2 linked regions of the Saccharomyces cerevisiae S288C genome follow. The main gene of each other region encodes a partner of the protein of the gene in region 2 in a complex. Each region holds a gene or a part of one and is shown on either strand. Other genes may lie near its edges. The genes, in order: CDC13 and POL1. A codon is read from its position in the direction of its gene.

Region 1 (5,287 bases), on a different chromosome or scaffold from region 2:
AGCCGTTTGTATCAGCCTGTAACCAATAAAAATTTTTCAGCGTTCCAGATTCTCTGCCTCCTGACAGAATAAGAAAAAACGTCAATAAGCCAGCACCGAGTAGGAATAAAAACACAAGCAAATTAACGAACCTTTTGAAAATCATAGCGGTAGATTATAGTGATTAGTGTTACTTGTTACTTGGATAAAAAGGAAAGTATAAGCGTTAAACGTAAATACCTCTTTCTTTTTAATTCACTTCAAAATTACTGTACTTAAAGTTTGCATCTAACGGATAACTAATCAAGAGAACAAAGCAAGATCAAGTAACTGTTGCAAAGCAACCATCCTTTTATATGTCGGCATCTGCGCCGAATGCTCCTCCCCATTCCAGACTATCCTTGTTTTAGCATCAAGAAGGAAGGAAGACCTTTCATTGACTCTTGCTTCTTACCACTCCCCTCTTTCCCTTTTCCTTCGTGTGAAAACGTTCCACTCCCTTATATTCAGAGCACCCTTAAATTTGGTTATTTGGTCTTTTTTTTTTATATTACTCCGAGACGTCACTGCAATTTGGCACCGCCGCGTTGGGCTGCGCGGATCATGTCTTACGAGGTGGGAACGGCTCCGGCGTCATCGTCATTATCCTCCTCCTTTTTCACGGTGACGCCATTTTGCGCGGCAAGAAGTCGCAGAGGATTGACGGTAGCATTAATTGCGCAATCAAGACTCCCTGAATCAGGAGCCGCTGCAACCTTCGGATGGGCCAGCTGTTGTTGCAATTCCCGAAAGGTGCATTCAATTGGGCACCAGATCTGGAGTGCCACGGTAGTGTCAGGGAACAGCGTGAGCGAGGAGGTTATATTGAATTTAAATGAATGGCCGAGAAATTGTGCCAATTGCGTATATTTTTCCTCAAGAGGCTGACGCTGTAAGTAGGCGCTTGAGCGGTTGAAAAAATAAGCAAAGTTCTTGGAGGTAATGATGTGTAGTTGCAACACTCGCTCCGGGGCCAAGCCGCGGGTTTGTAAAAGTGGGAGCTCATTCGTGATATGGAAGCAGAGATCAGATGCGTGGTACTCGATGGCGATGATACGGCCCTCGCAACTGTATAATGTGTTGCTCTTGTGTGTTTGCTGTGGGCGCGGGAGGCGAGCCGAGGAGTCCAAGAGAGAAGATATATCTGTGAACTTTACATCGAAGGAGGACACGTCTGCATTCAGGTCGGGTATGTGTTCTGCGAGAGCTGGTGTAGTGGGTGATTTTTTTGGTTCATGCTTTACTTCATCGAACCTCAGTTTCGCGAGATGAGAACCGTTTCTATGTATGGGGAAAAACCTCCGGTACTCTTCGAAATAGCGTGAAATTGCGGATTCGCCAATTCTCTTGAACGCTCGTTGGTAGAACAATCTTAAATGTTCGCACTGTGAAGGCGAGGCGATGCTGCTTATTTGGGAATGCGGGACCGGCTCACATTCGCGCACAATGGCATTCAATTTGCCGTTGTACATTTTCACTTTTATATTCATCTTACAAACTATGCCGTATTGCGAAAGGTTTTCATCGCGGCCGTTCTGTAGATCTCTTAGCCCGTTGTTGAATATTTTTCTGAGCTTAGAGTCAAACGTTTCGAATTGGTTTTTGTACATGATGGCTTTGAAGCCCTCGTTCAGCTCTAACTTGTTCTCGTAATCTATTAGATATCTGTCGTAAAGATAGTTTTGGACGATATCGTTCTTGGTAAAATCGCTAAAGACAAAAGATATAAAGGCAGGTTTATCAAACGAGCAGGAGACTAGCATGCCAAACATTGTTATGTATTTGGTCTCAAAAGTGTCGAGTCCCAACTGACAGAATTCGATGGTGGGGTCTTTCCTTGCCATTTTGCTCATCCTTGTGCGAGACGGATCGATTGACGCCGACGATTGCGCAGGCACCTGCACCTGCGCCTGCGCCTGCGTGTCGGTGCTAATGTTCTTCAAACTCCATACTGCCATACCTGGGCTGGCGGTCTTGTCATTGTCCCACAGGATCCTTTCAACTTCGACGGAAATTCGATCAGGCTTTTCCAGTAGTAAAATATCCGATATCTTGTCGCTTTGACAGTTTAAAACACCGAAGAGCTCACAGATTCGCTCTCTCGTCGGGATAACGATCTCAATGCAATTGACGCCTGGCACCAGGACCTTGTCTGGGACATTTGGTAAGAGCTGCGTAAAATATAATTTCAATGTGCAATATTTGAACTCATTTATACTGGCGAATTGAGGTGGATTCATGCCAACAATTTTGCCCTCTAACCTTTCAACTGAGCCTACACTAGCTAGGGAAAGTTGCTCATAACTGATGGCTTTGCGGATTGAGGACGCGTTCGGACTGTGGAAAGAAAGCTTTCTCTTCCTCTTGCTTCCGGAATCATCATCGTGCCAATTATTTGGTACGCTTGTTTTCCTTTCAGGTGTCTGTGACTGGATGTAGGATTTTGAGCTGAAATATTTCCCGGTAGAGGAGGTAGTTGAGGAATCTGAATCCTCAATGGGATCTGCGCTGTCATGCATTTCCTCTCCCATGTTGCTTATATCTGTGGTCGGTTCATCTACATTAAGCGTCATAAGCTGCGAGTTGAATTCGTTTTGGGATTCAATGTAAGGTATCCCTAGTCTATTTGGCACAAAGAAAGGATTAATTGCTGCGGCTTTTGATTTCTGCGATAATACCTTTTGTTGGTCTTGAACGAACTTTTTTAGTTCTATATCGTAGTGAATCAACTTTACAAATTTAAACCTGTTTTTCTCGTCTCTATTCATTTCTATTAAATTGTTGAAGATATCCACAAGTGAGTTGTTCAAATCACATTCTGAAATAAGTTCTGATGACGAATGCTTGCTGCTATTTGTCGATTTTGTAGATATGGTGCTTATCACACTTACCAAATCCAACGGTTTTATGTCCTCTAAGAATAGAGTATAGTTCCCGTGTTTTGATACATATAAAGCTTTACAACTTGAAAAACATAACCTTTCAAGGTGAATATCTCTCAGTATTACTGTTGGGGATGCGCCTGAGTCAGAATCTAAATCTGGCAGTTCAATATCAAAGTATTGGCAAAGTAAGGAAATAGTGATCCGGGCTAACCTCTCCGAGCCCCTATCTTTGAACTTCAGTTTGATTAAATATTGATCTTCTTGGGATTGATCTCCTCGCCTCTCAAAATTAGAAAAGCCTAGCAAACATTTTGTTTCAGTCAGGTGTATTGAGGTTAAAAGCGCCACGAATTGCACGGGAACTATTGCTTTGCTGGGATAGCCTTCAAAATCTTTACTCGAGCTCACAAAAATACGATTTTTATGTGGAGGACACTCAGGCTCTTCTAAGGTATCCATTTTTAGGCGATAGTTTCCACGGTCATTCGTATCCAAAGAGAAACATATATGAATATATTCTTAAATTTCCATTTTGAATTAGCATTTCGCATCTCACTAGGCCTTCGCGTCTCTTATGACGTTGAAAAATTTGGATATCAAAGGTTTAAAAAGTATAATCACGTTAATCAAGGCTGCATGTACATATTAAATAATCCACATATTATTCAGCAGCGGATTTACAATGAAGATTGTCTTACAAAAAGTCAGCCAAGCATCTGTAGTCGTCGATTCAAAAGTTATTTCAAGGTATGTTACCGGTTTTTTCAGCTTCGTTAGTGCACCAATTTTTTTTACTAACACCTCTATCTATGTGACAGTATTAAACATGGTTATATGCTCCTAGTAGGTATTTCCATTGATGATTCTATGGCGGAGATAGATAAATTATCGAAAAAGGTTCTTAGTTTGAGAATCTTCGAAGATGAATCCAGAAATCTATGGAAGAAGAATATTAAAGAGGCCAATGGTGAAATTCTATCCGTGTCTCAATTCACTTTGATGGCAAAAACCAAGAAGGGAACTAAACCCGATTTCCATTTGGCCCAAAAGGGTCATATAGCTAAAGAACTTTATGAAGAATTCTTAAAATTACTAAGAAGTGATTTGGGTGAGGAAAAAGTAAAGGATGGTGAATTCGGCGCAATGATGAGTTGCTCTTTAACTAATGAAGGGCCCGTTACAATCATTCTTGACAGTGACCAATAAGATTGACCTTATAGATATATACGAGAAGAAAATAAAAAGCAAACATTATTTGCAATCTTTCTTTCGCAAGATAAAGTACCAAAATCTTTCCATGTTATGTTCTCAGTGAAGTTGAGTAGAGCGGAGAGGAGCCCTCCCCAAAAAAATGAATACAAAATATCTGTGATGGATTTTTGAATTCACGCTTCCTTCAATAACCTTCGCCAAGAAAGTCTAGAATTGTTTTATATTCTTTACATAAAAGTAAGTAAATCAACTTTAAAAAACTTTAAGGGCGAAAATGAAAAAAAAAAAATGTAAAAGTGAAAAAAGGGACGGCGAAGCGATGCCCTGCCAGTCTTACTAATCCAGAGGGCTAAAAGCATGTTTACAGTGTATTTCCAGTCATAGGAGAGTATTGACCTGGCATGGAAAAAGAAACGCACAATGAGAAAGGGGATATATACCCTTAAATTGACGATAGTTAAGGAGATTTTGAGGTTTGTGTTACTAATAAACCAGTAAGCATACTCGTTGATGACTTTAACGTATATTTGGTTTCCAAGGGATATTGAAACCGTATCTTAAGGGATGACGATGGTTGGTTAACATTCCCTAAAAGACAACGTATAAAAAGGTTCAACAAAGCGTCCGTTACCATTATGCTTTGATGTTCTCAGTACGAAAGTTTACGGTTTTTTTTTTCAATTGAGGAACATAAACCAAATAGATATATTATATCAACGTTATGAAACGAGTTACTGGAGTTTTCTTAACACTTTTGAGATTTTCTCAATTTGCATCATCGGTTTTGGTGATGTCACTTTTGGCGTATGCCATCCACGCCTATGGAAATAGAGGTAATAAGAAAACCAACTTCACATTGGCAACAGGTGTCATTAGTGTGTTTTATCTGATTGCCTTAGGTATTTTGTGTCTGGCCCTACCCACATTGATCTACATAGGAATGTACTTCTGTGCCGAATTGATCGTTTGTATGCTATGGCTAGCAGCTTTCGTTGTTCTTGCCAAAGCTCAAGGTGAACGTAGCTGTAGCAACACTAATGCAGACGGATTATACTATAATCCGTACAGTGGCCAATATACTGCTGACAGTCATAGAAGAGCATGTAATTCTTCTCAGGCGGCAATCGCCTTTTCTGGCCTTTGCTTTGTACTGTTTTTGATCAGTGTGATAT
Region 2 (6,735 bases):
AACGCTTCGACATATATCCCTCGGCGTTAAGGTAGACATAGAATACTTCCTACTATAAAATGGGTTTGAATTGAGAACTGTTGATTGAGCCCTTCTGGGAATTTTCATATTATTGGAAGGATGCCTTAAATTTCCGTTTCTTCGGATCCCAAGGTGCTCACCATCTCCATTGTTAGTGACCATTGATGATGTGTTCTAGGATATTGTTATGTTGATTCCAGATTATGAATGACGTTGAAATGTGTTTTAGAGGAGGAATGATGAGTGCCTTTGAACCTAAGGAATCAGATGGCTAAAAATGCTATGTCACCTCGAAAGCAAGAGCAGATCAAGGTAAATGATATCCAACTATATTGTGGGTATTGCTTTTATCAAACTGGCTTATGACAGTGCTTCACAAGATTTAAGCATTCTATTTCATTGATGAAGCTGTTCGCTTATCTGATCTTGCTGATAAGGCGAATCTTAATGCATGGGTTTATTAAAGGATGATGCATGTGAGAACTGATCACCAGAGCCGAAAAAACATTCTCAGAATATCGCTGAAAACCTTCAATAATAAAAGCTTCCTAGCGCTCCTTCCGATGTCTGTACATTAGGTATCTAGTAGGATGCGTATGTACAGTTGTATTCTTTTCTTACTATATAGAATATTCATGAGATCACACAACACATACAAAATACTTACCTAATTTAGCATGAAATCAAATATGCTAGTCATATCAACGTAGCGACGTCCACAATCGTTCAAATATTTTTGAACAACGCTCCGGCCGGTTTCCATTAGTTCTCTGTTTTGTTCTGTTAAAGCCTTAATAGATGATTCTGTCAGCTGTTCCTTGGGGTAGTCGAGATCATCGGGTAGATATATTGGCTTCAATTCTTGCTTTTTATTTTTTTCACAATCGAATAAAGAATCGAAATATAAAAGTTGATTGTACAATTGCTTGTCACTGTATTTGTATCTCATGACACCCGTGCAGCCGTCATTCAAACAACGCTTACCAAAAACGGAGACTTGTCTTGTAACTATACCGCATGTGCTGTCATCACACTGTAACCACCCTGCGTAATATAAGGAAATGTGTGCCCTTATAGAATGCTCTATTTGGCTAGTTAATTGAAGAGGAGTAAAAAGTTGCTCACAATGCTTGCACTGTAAACCATTATATGACACGCGATAGTAATTTGAAGATACAATACCACCAAATGGAAACCTTTTATCGCATGATGGGCAACTTAATTCTAATGTTACAGTATCCTTAAACCTTTCAACGTCTGTAATTGTTGTTTCTAAGGGTTGCAAATTATTAATATCTTCTCCATTGTTATTACCGCCCTCTCTTCTAAAATACTTTTTACTATCTAAACCAAGCGCTTCACTCAAACGCACCACGTTGAAGCTATCAATTCTTTCTAACAACCTTTCTACCGGCGCGAATATTTGTTTCTCGAGATAATATTGTGGATCAGGTATCAAATTGTTACTTTTAATCATTACCTCATTCAATGCATGGGCACGTTCAGCCACAGAAAGAGCCGGCGTATCCGCTGCATTGTCTATTTCATCCTGCTTTGTGATCACAAAAGTGATGACAGAGCCAGCTTTAACAACTCTACCAGCCTTACGCATTCTTAGAGCTACTTGGACTGCAGGCATGTTTTTACCACCTGGGTAGGCCTTGGGATCTTTTGAAAGCTTCATATTGATCTTATATTTATCAATTCTAATGTTATTGGTTTCCACTTTTATTCTGATGTCTTCTAAGTAATCATACACTTCTTGCAATGCTTCTTCTGGGTCCTTATCTGACAGGATGGTGTTTAAAACATGTATAGAAACGTCCCTCGAAAGTGGACAAAATTCACGACGCTTCATGTCCAACCCTTTAACTTCTAGAACAGTAGTTCCATTACCATTTTTGTCCAAATTTACAGTCAAAGCAGCGTACTTTTTCTTGGCATGTAATAGTAACTTCTTAAAAACATTATCAATATCAATCTCCAATAATCTATAGCGCTCATTTACTAGCCTTTTAAATCCCAAGCCAATTTTAATTGCATCCGCATAATTATCACAACCGGTATCTATCATGACCGAATCTGTATCACCATAAACTACAAGAAGATTCATACTTTCAGCTAGTTGTCTTGTATTCATTAAAATCTCACGACCCTTATTAGTGACTAACATGGCGAGCGGCTTTGCGTAAAATCTACTGTTAACATAACCCAAACAACCATACATAGAATTGGCAGTCAATTTTAGAGCTTGTTGACGAATATCACATTGAACTCGCTTATGGGGATCAGTTTCAGTTTTCATCACCTTCTTAACTTCACGTCGACGATCCACCAGATTAGCTAATAACCTTGGTAAAACACCCTGATCCACCTCTGAAGGAGGTACGCTTGGTAACTCATCGATATCTTCCTTATTTCTATCAACGGTGGTAAAACATATATTAAATTCCTGGATAATAGATGGATACAAAGAATTAAAGTCCATGACTAAAACGTAATTCTTATGAAGACCTTTCTCAGGTTCAAAAACTAAACCACCCTGATATTTTGCCTTTTTAGAATTAACTGGTGCATCAGCATTTTCTTCATTTTGTCTTTGTTTCTGAGCTCTACTTCTATTGCCTTCTTTGTCAGGAACAATAAAACCATTTCTTGAAAATTCATGTAGTAAGATATACTCATTTCTACCAGCTCTTGTACCGCCTAGCGTTTGGGCCCATGCATTACCAGCCAAATTTGTCAACTGTTTAGTCAAGGTTAATAATTGAATTCTATAAGACACCTCAGCAGAAATCATACAATTAGTAATATTCTCTTGTAGGGCCATTGTCATACTATTTACATCATTTTGGTATTGTGGATTTTGATAATCAATATCTAACGGCTTATGCTCCTTTTCACATGTAACTTGATACATCTCTGAAAGATCCCAACTTTGACATTTGGGTGTTAATGATTGACCCATTTCATTGGCGATATCACATATCAGCCTACCAGAGCAAATGTCACTAATAAAAAAATGGTTCATATTCGAATTTCCTCTACCGAATTTTTCAGGCCAAGTCCTTCTTAAACGACGGCCAATAGAGCTGAACGTTGGAATGTTGAGATCATGCATTCTATGAGCTAAAACATCTAAGTAGACATTTTGCAAACGATGGCCTATGATAACATCTGGGTCTTCCACTTTTAACATAGCACAAAAACAAGATAGCATGGCCTTTTCGTTGTTGAACAACCTGACTCTACCGGGTAGTTTCTGTTTTGCCAGTGCAGCTAAACCTAATGGGAAACTAGTTGACTGAGGCGGCCTTACTAAAGTACACAAGTCGTCTGGTTTTATATTTTCAGGTATCGGTGAATCCAACGAGATATTTCTATATGCTGATAACGTTATCGAAACAATCTCTTGCTTATTTTCCTTGGGATTCATTAACGTCTGAATCGATAAAGATAGACATCTCAGATTAGGCATTGTCTTTGTTGTAGTAGGCGTGATATTCTGAGGCTTATCTACCGAAACTTCAACCGCACAGTGAGAAGCATTACGAATTGAATTGAAATCTGCTCCCTTTATATCTAACCAGCATGGTCCCATAATCCTATTTTGAATAACAAAACTTTCAAAAATATTGGAATTCCCACCAAAAACATGATAAAAGGTATCGCTAGATAAATCCGATGGAATGGTGTCTCGACTGGACTTCGGTGTTTGGTATGGAAGTAAGACTTTCAAATAATCACTTTCAGATGGAATGTCAGGAAGCTCAAACGAATATTTCATTTTTTGAGGTTTAGCGCGGATATTATCCAGTCCATATTTATCCATCAGTAACGGAATTATTTCCTCGTGTATATCGGTAGGTGTTTTACCCTCTCTTGGAAGGAAAAATAGCTCTCTACAGAGACCGTTGATTTGAACCATGGCTGACACACAATTATCATCCTTTAGTTTAACCTTACCAAATAAAATCAAAGTGTTGTTCACTTCACAGTAATCCAACCAAAACATTTGGAAAGTATCAGTTTCCGGATCTACCACATCTTCCTTTTTGACATTAACCGCAAGTGTAGCAACATCGGTGTTGCTCTGCAAAGATTTACTTGGAGTTAGTCCTTTAATACCGATTGGCGTTCCGGGTGCTGTGACAAACGGTGAAGTTGAAGGGTTACTTCTTGAGTCTATATTCACGCGTCTAGTTGTTGTCACACTTCTCATAGTTCTTCTTTTCAGAATAATATCTTCATCACTATCTTCATCATCTTCTTCATCAGCCAAACTTTGAGCGGATGGTGGATTTGCTAGTAACGTATCTTGAAGTACATTCTGTCTCTTTGTGGCTACTACTGGGGAATTTTCCACATCATCCAATAAATCCTGTACATCATTTGCGTAGCGCAGTTTCCTGCTTTGTAATTTTAACGGTGATGATTCGATTTCTAAATATTTATCAGTACTTGAATCTGGATCAATCTTGACTTTTTTAGAAATACCGGCATCATGACTTGACTCATCGTTTCCGTTAACTCTCTTTATTGACGATTTAAATTCACTAGTCGGCGAAGAATTTAAATTTTCCCTTAATTTGGATGGCAGTAAAATATTGGGTTTTTCTACTTCACCAGATTCAAACTCACCAAGAATGTCATCAAAATTATCGATGGGGATACTTTTTTTTTGGGATTTTTTTGCATGTGCTAGCAGTGTTGATTTGGAATGTTGAGTTCGCAGCATATCTGTAATCTGGTGGTCTTTCTCCCTTTTTATATTCTTCTTCCTTTTAGAATCCTTGCTAGCAAGGTTTCCAGTGTCTTCATCACTTGAACTGTTATCAACTTCCCTCCAATCTTCTTCGACACCACGATCGACGTAGCCTACACCATCGTCATCTACAACAAAATCGTCATGCAGCAATTCCTGGCGCTTTCTGGCCCTGTATTCTTTTTCGTCGATTTCGTCGTATATTCTGTCACCATCTGATTCGTCACCTTCGTAATCATCGATGGATGTACCATTTCGAGCGGCTTGCAGCTTTCTCAATTTTTCTAATTTTTCACTTTTAGAAGACATTTTCCACTGTTTATTTTATGCCTTGATACTATTTGGTTTCTAATAGCAGAGTGAAGACAGTTTTTTTTCTCGTGAGTCTGAATTGGTATGTGTTCGTTGTCTAGACCAAGAAGATATATATCATCCAATGAGTAAAGAATTTAATTCAGTAAAATTGGATACACGCGACGCGTTTTACTTATAGGCTAACAAAAAAATTTTAACGCGTTTGAATAGATGTGTGATGAATGAAGAATAGAGATTGCAGGCAGTACAAGAAAAAAGTTATATTTCTTTAAGAAAAATGCACGTATATATATATATATATATAATTAAACTGTATAGTCTGTTATTTTATTCTTTCTGAACCTTCTCAAAAATTTGCTTCTTTAAGCTTTCAGCTTTTTTTATTCCTTCCGTTTCACCGCTACTCAGAACTAAATTCTTTAAAAGCTTGTTTTCCGTTTCTAACGTATGTATCCGTTTTTGTAAGGATGCTGCAATTTCGGTCAGTTCATGTATCGATGATTCTAACTCCTTTTCCTTTAGTTTTTTTTTTTGATGAGATTTTTTCGACTGTATCAATAAATCTTCATCGTCGTCCCCTAACTCTTTCTTGATCAGTTGCTTCTTTTCAAAGCCGTGTAAATCTGCATCGTCATATTCATCGTCTTCATTATCAGAATACTTGCGGTCGACGGGTACTTTTTTATTTTTCAAATCTCCGGAGTGTGATCTTTTTAAACTATTTTCCTTGTGATCAGAAGAACTTGCATTTAAAGTTGGCTCGGATCGTATCTTGGCAATTTCGTCTCCACGCGTCGTACTTGACTTAATAACAGCGTTATTATGATGGACATTATCGTTTCCATTGTTACCGTCACTCTCTCTTGATATTTTATGATCGTTTCGTGAAGGTTGTCGTTGATTGTGAATATTATTACTTTTTGGATGCTTTATGCCCAGTTCCAAAATGGAGCTTAGAAAAGAAGCCTCTGCTACTACACCGTGCTCATTGAACGAAGGCGACGTTGATAAGGTAGTTGGCGCAGCAGTTTCAGCCGGAGAGGGTGGTATTAAGACACTTAAAAGTTCGTTGATGTTTTTTAGAATGGGTGCCTCTTGACTGTCATTGGTGTTGATGTTTTTATTATTATTACTGTTATTTTCCCTAATCTTTTTTTGATGATGATACGCCATTATTGCGGCTATAGCATCTATTTGATCATTGTCAAATCCCGCGCTGATCAACGAGTTATATGCGCCGTTGGGCACGTTGACCCTCGGTAATAGAGTTACTAAAACAGAGGTTGGTATAATTGAATAGTCAGGAACAGTTATATTGGGGGCTTTGTTGGAGCTGTTATTATCGCTGTTACTATCGACTTTGCTTTCCGAATGTTTTCGTTGTTGTGAAGAGGAATTTTGAGCAGAAGTGACATTGCTTAGGGGGGAGGAGCGGTTCGGTGTGTGTGTTGTCCTATGTAGTAGATTTGATAGCGCATCCACTCCATTGTCACCGGTAGTATTGTTCTCAGTTGATGTAATGTCAACATTTGTGAAGCCGCCATGGTCGATTGATGTCATATTAGTTGCGTCAGCGGGAAACTGAGAAGGGCTTCCCATAAAGTTTGGCTCAAAAGGATGGTTATTTTGCATAT

What was found.
Region 1: the proteins of POL1 (region 2) and CDC13 are in contact, whole or in part, in a crystal structure (PDB 3OIQ), measured with the Saccharomyces cerevisiae proteins. Residues at the interface, in NP_014297.3 of Saccharomyces cerevisiae: Val230 (codon at 4,408), Asp232 (codon at 4,402), Leu233 (codon at 4,399), Leu234 (codon at 4,396), Asp236 (codon at 4,390), Val237 (codon at 4,387), Glu238 (codon at 4,384), Ser240 (codon at 4,378), Pro241 (codon at 4,375), Val242 (codon at 4,372), Val243 (codon at 4,369), Ala244 (codon at 4,366), Thr245 (codon at 4,363); in NP_010061.1 of Saccharomyces cerevisiae: Lys30 (codon at 3,275), Ile32 (codon at 3,269), Leu52 (codon at 3,209), Leu71 (codon at 3,152), Lys73 (codon at 3,146), Lys75 (codon at 3,140), Leu131 (codon at 2,972), Val133 (codon at 2,966), Ser134 (codon at 2,963), Lys135 (codon at 2,960), His136 (codon at 2,957), Gly137 (codon at 2,954), Asn138 (codon at 2,951), Tyr139 (codon at 2,948), Thr140 (codon at 2,945), Phe142 (codon at 2,939).

What each region holds. Positions count from the first base shown.
Region 1 is NC_001136.10:61,657-66,943, forward strand, and holds CDC13 (telomere-binding protein CDC13), read right to left. Parts: upstream 3,363-5,287; coding exon 588-3,362; downstream 1-587. Other genes in the region: FMP45 (Fmp45p), read right to left, coding at 1-145; DTD1 (D-tyrosyl-tRNA(Tyr) deacylase), read left to right, coding at 3,586-3,650, 3,722-4,109; YDL218W (uncharacterized protein), read left to right, coding at 4,837-5,287. UniProt on the Saccharomyces cerevisiae protein: Single-stranded telomeric DNA-binding protein that regulates telomere replication. Has a role in both positive and negative regulation. Promotes [TG(1-3)] strand lengthening via interaction with EST1.
Region 2 is NC_001146.8:428,447-435,181, reverse strand, and holds POL1 (DNA-directed DNA polymerase alpha catalytic subunit POL1), read right to left. Parts: upstream 5,096-6,735; coding exon 689-5,095; downstream 1-688. Other genes in the region: AVT4 (Avt4p), read right to left, coding at 1-183; MET4 (Met4p), read right to left, coding at 5,429-6,735. UniProt on the Saccharomyces cerevisiae protein: Catalytic component of DNA polymerase alpha, which in complex with DNA primase (DNA polymerase alpha:primase) constitutes a replicative polymerase. POL1 has a role in promoting telomere replication during interaction with CDC13.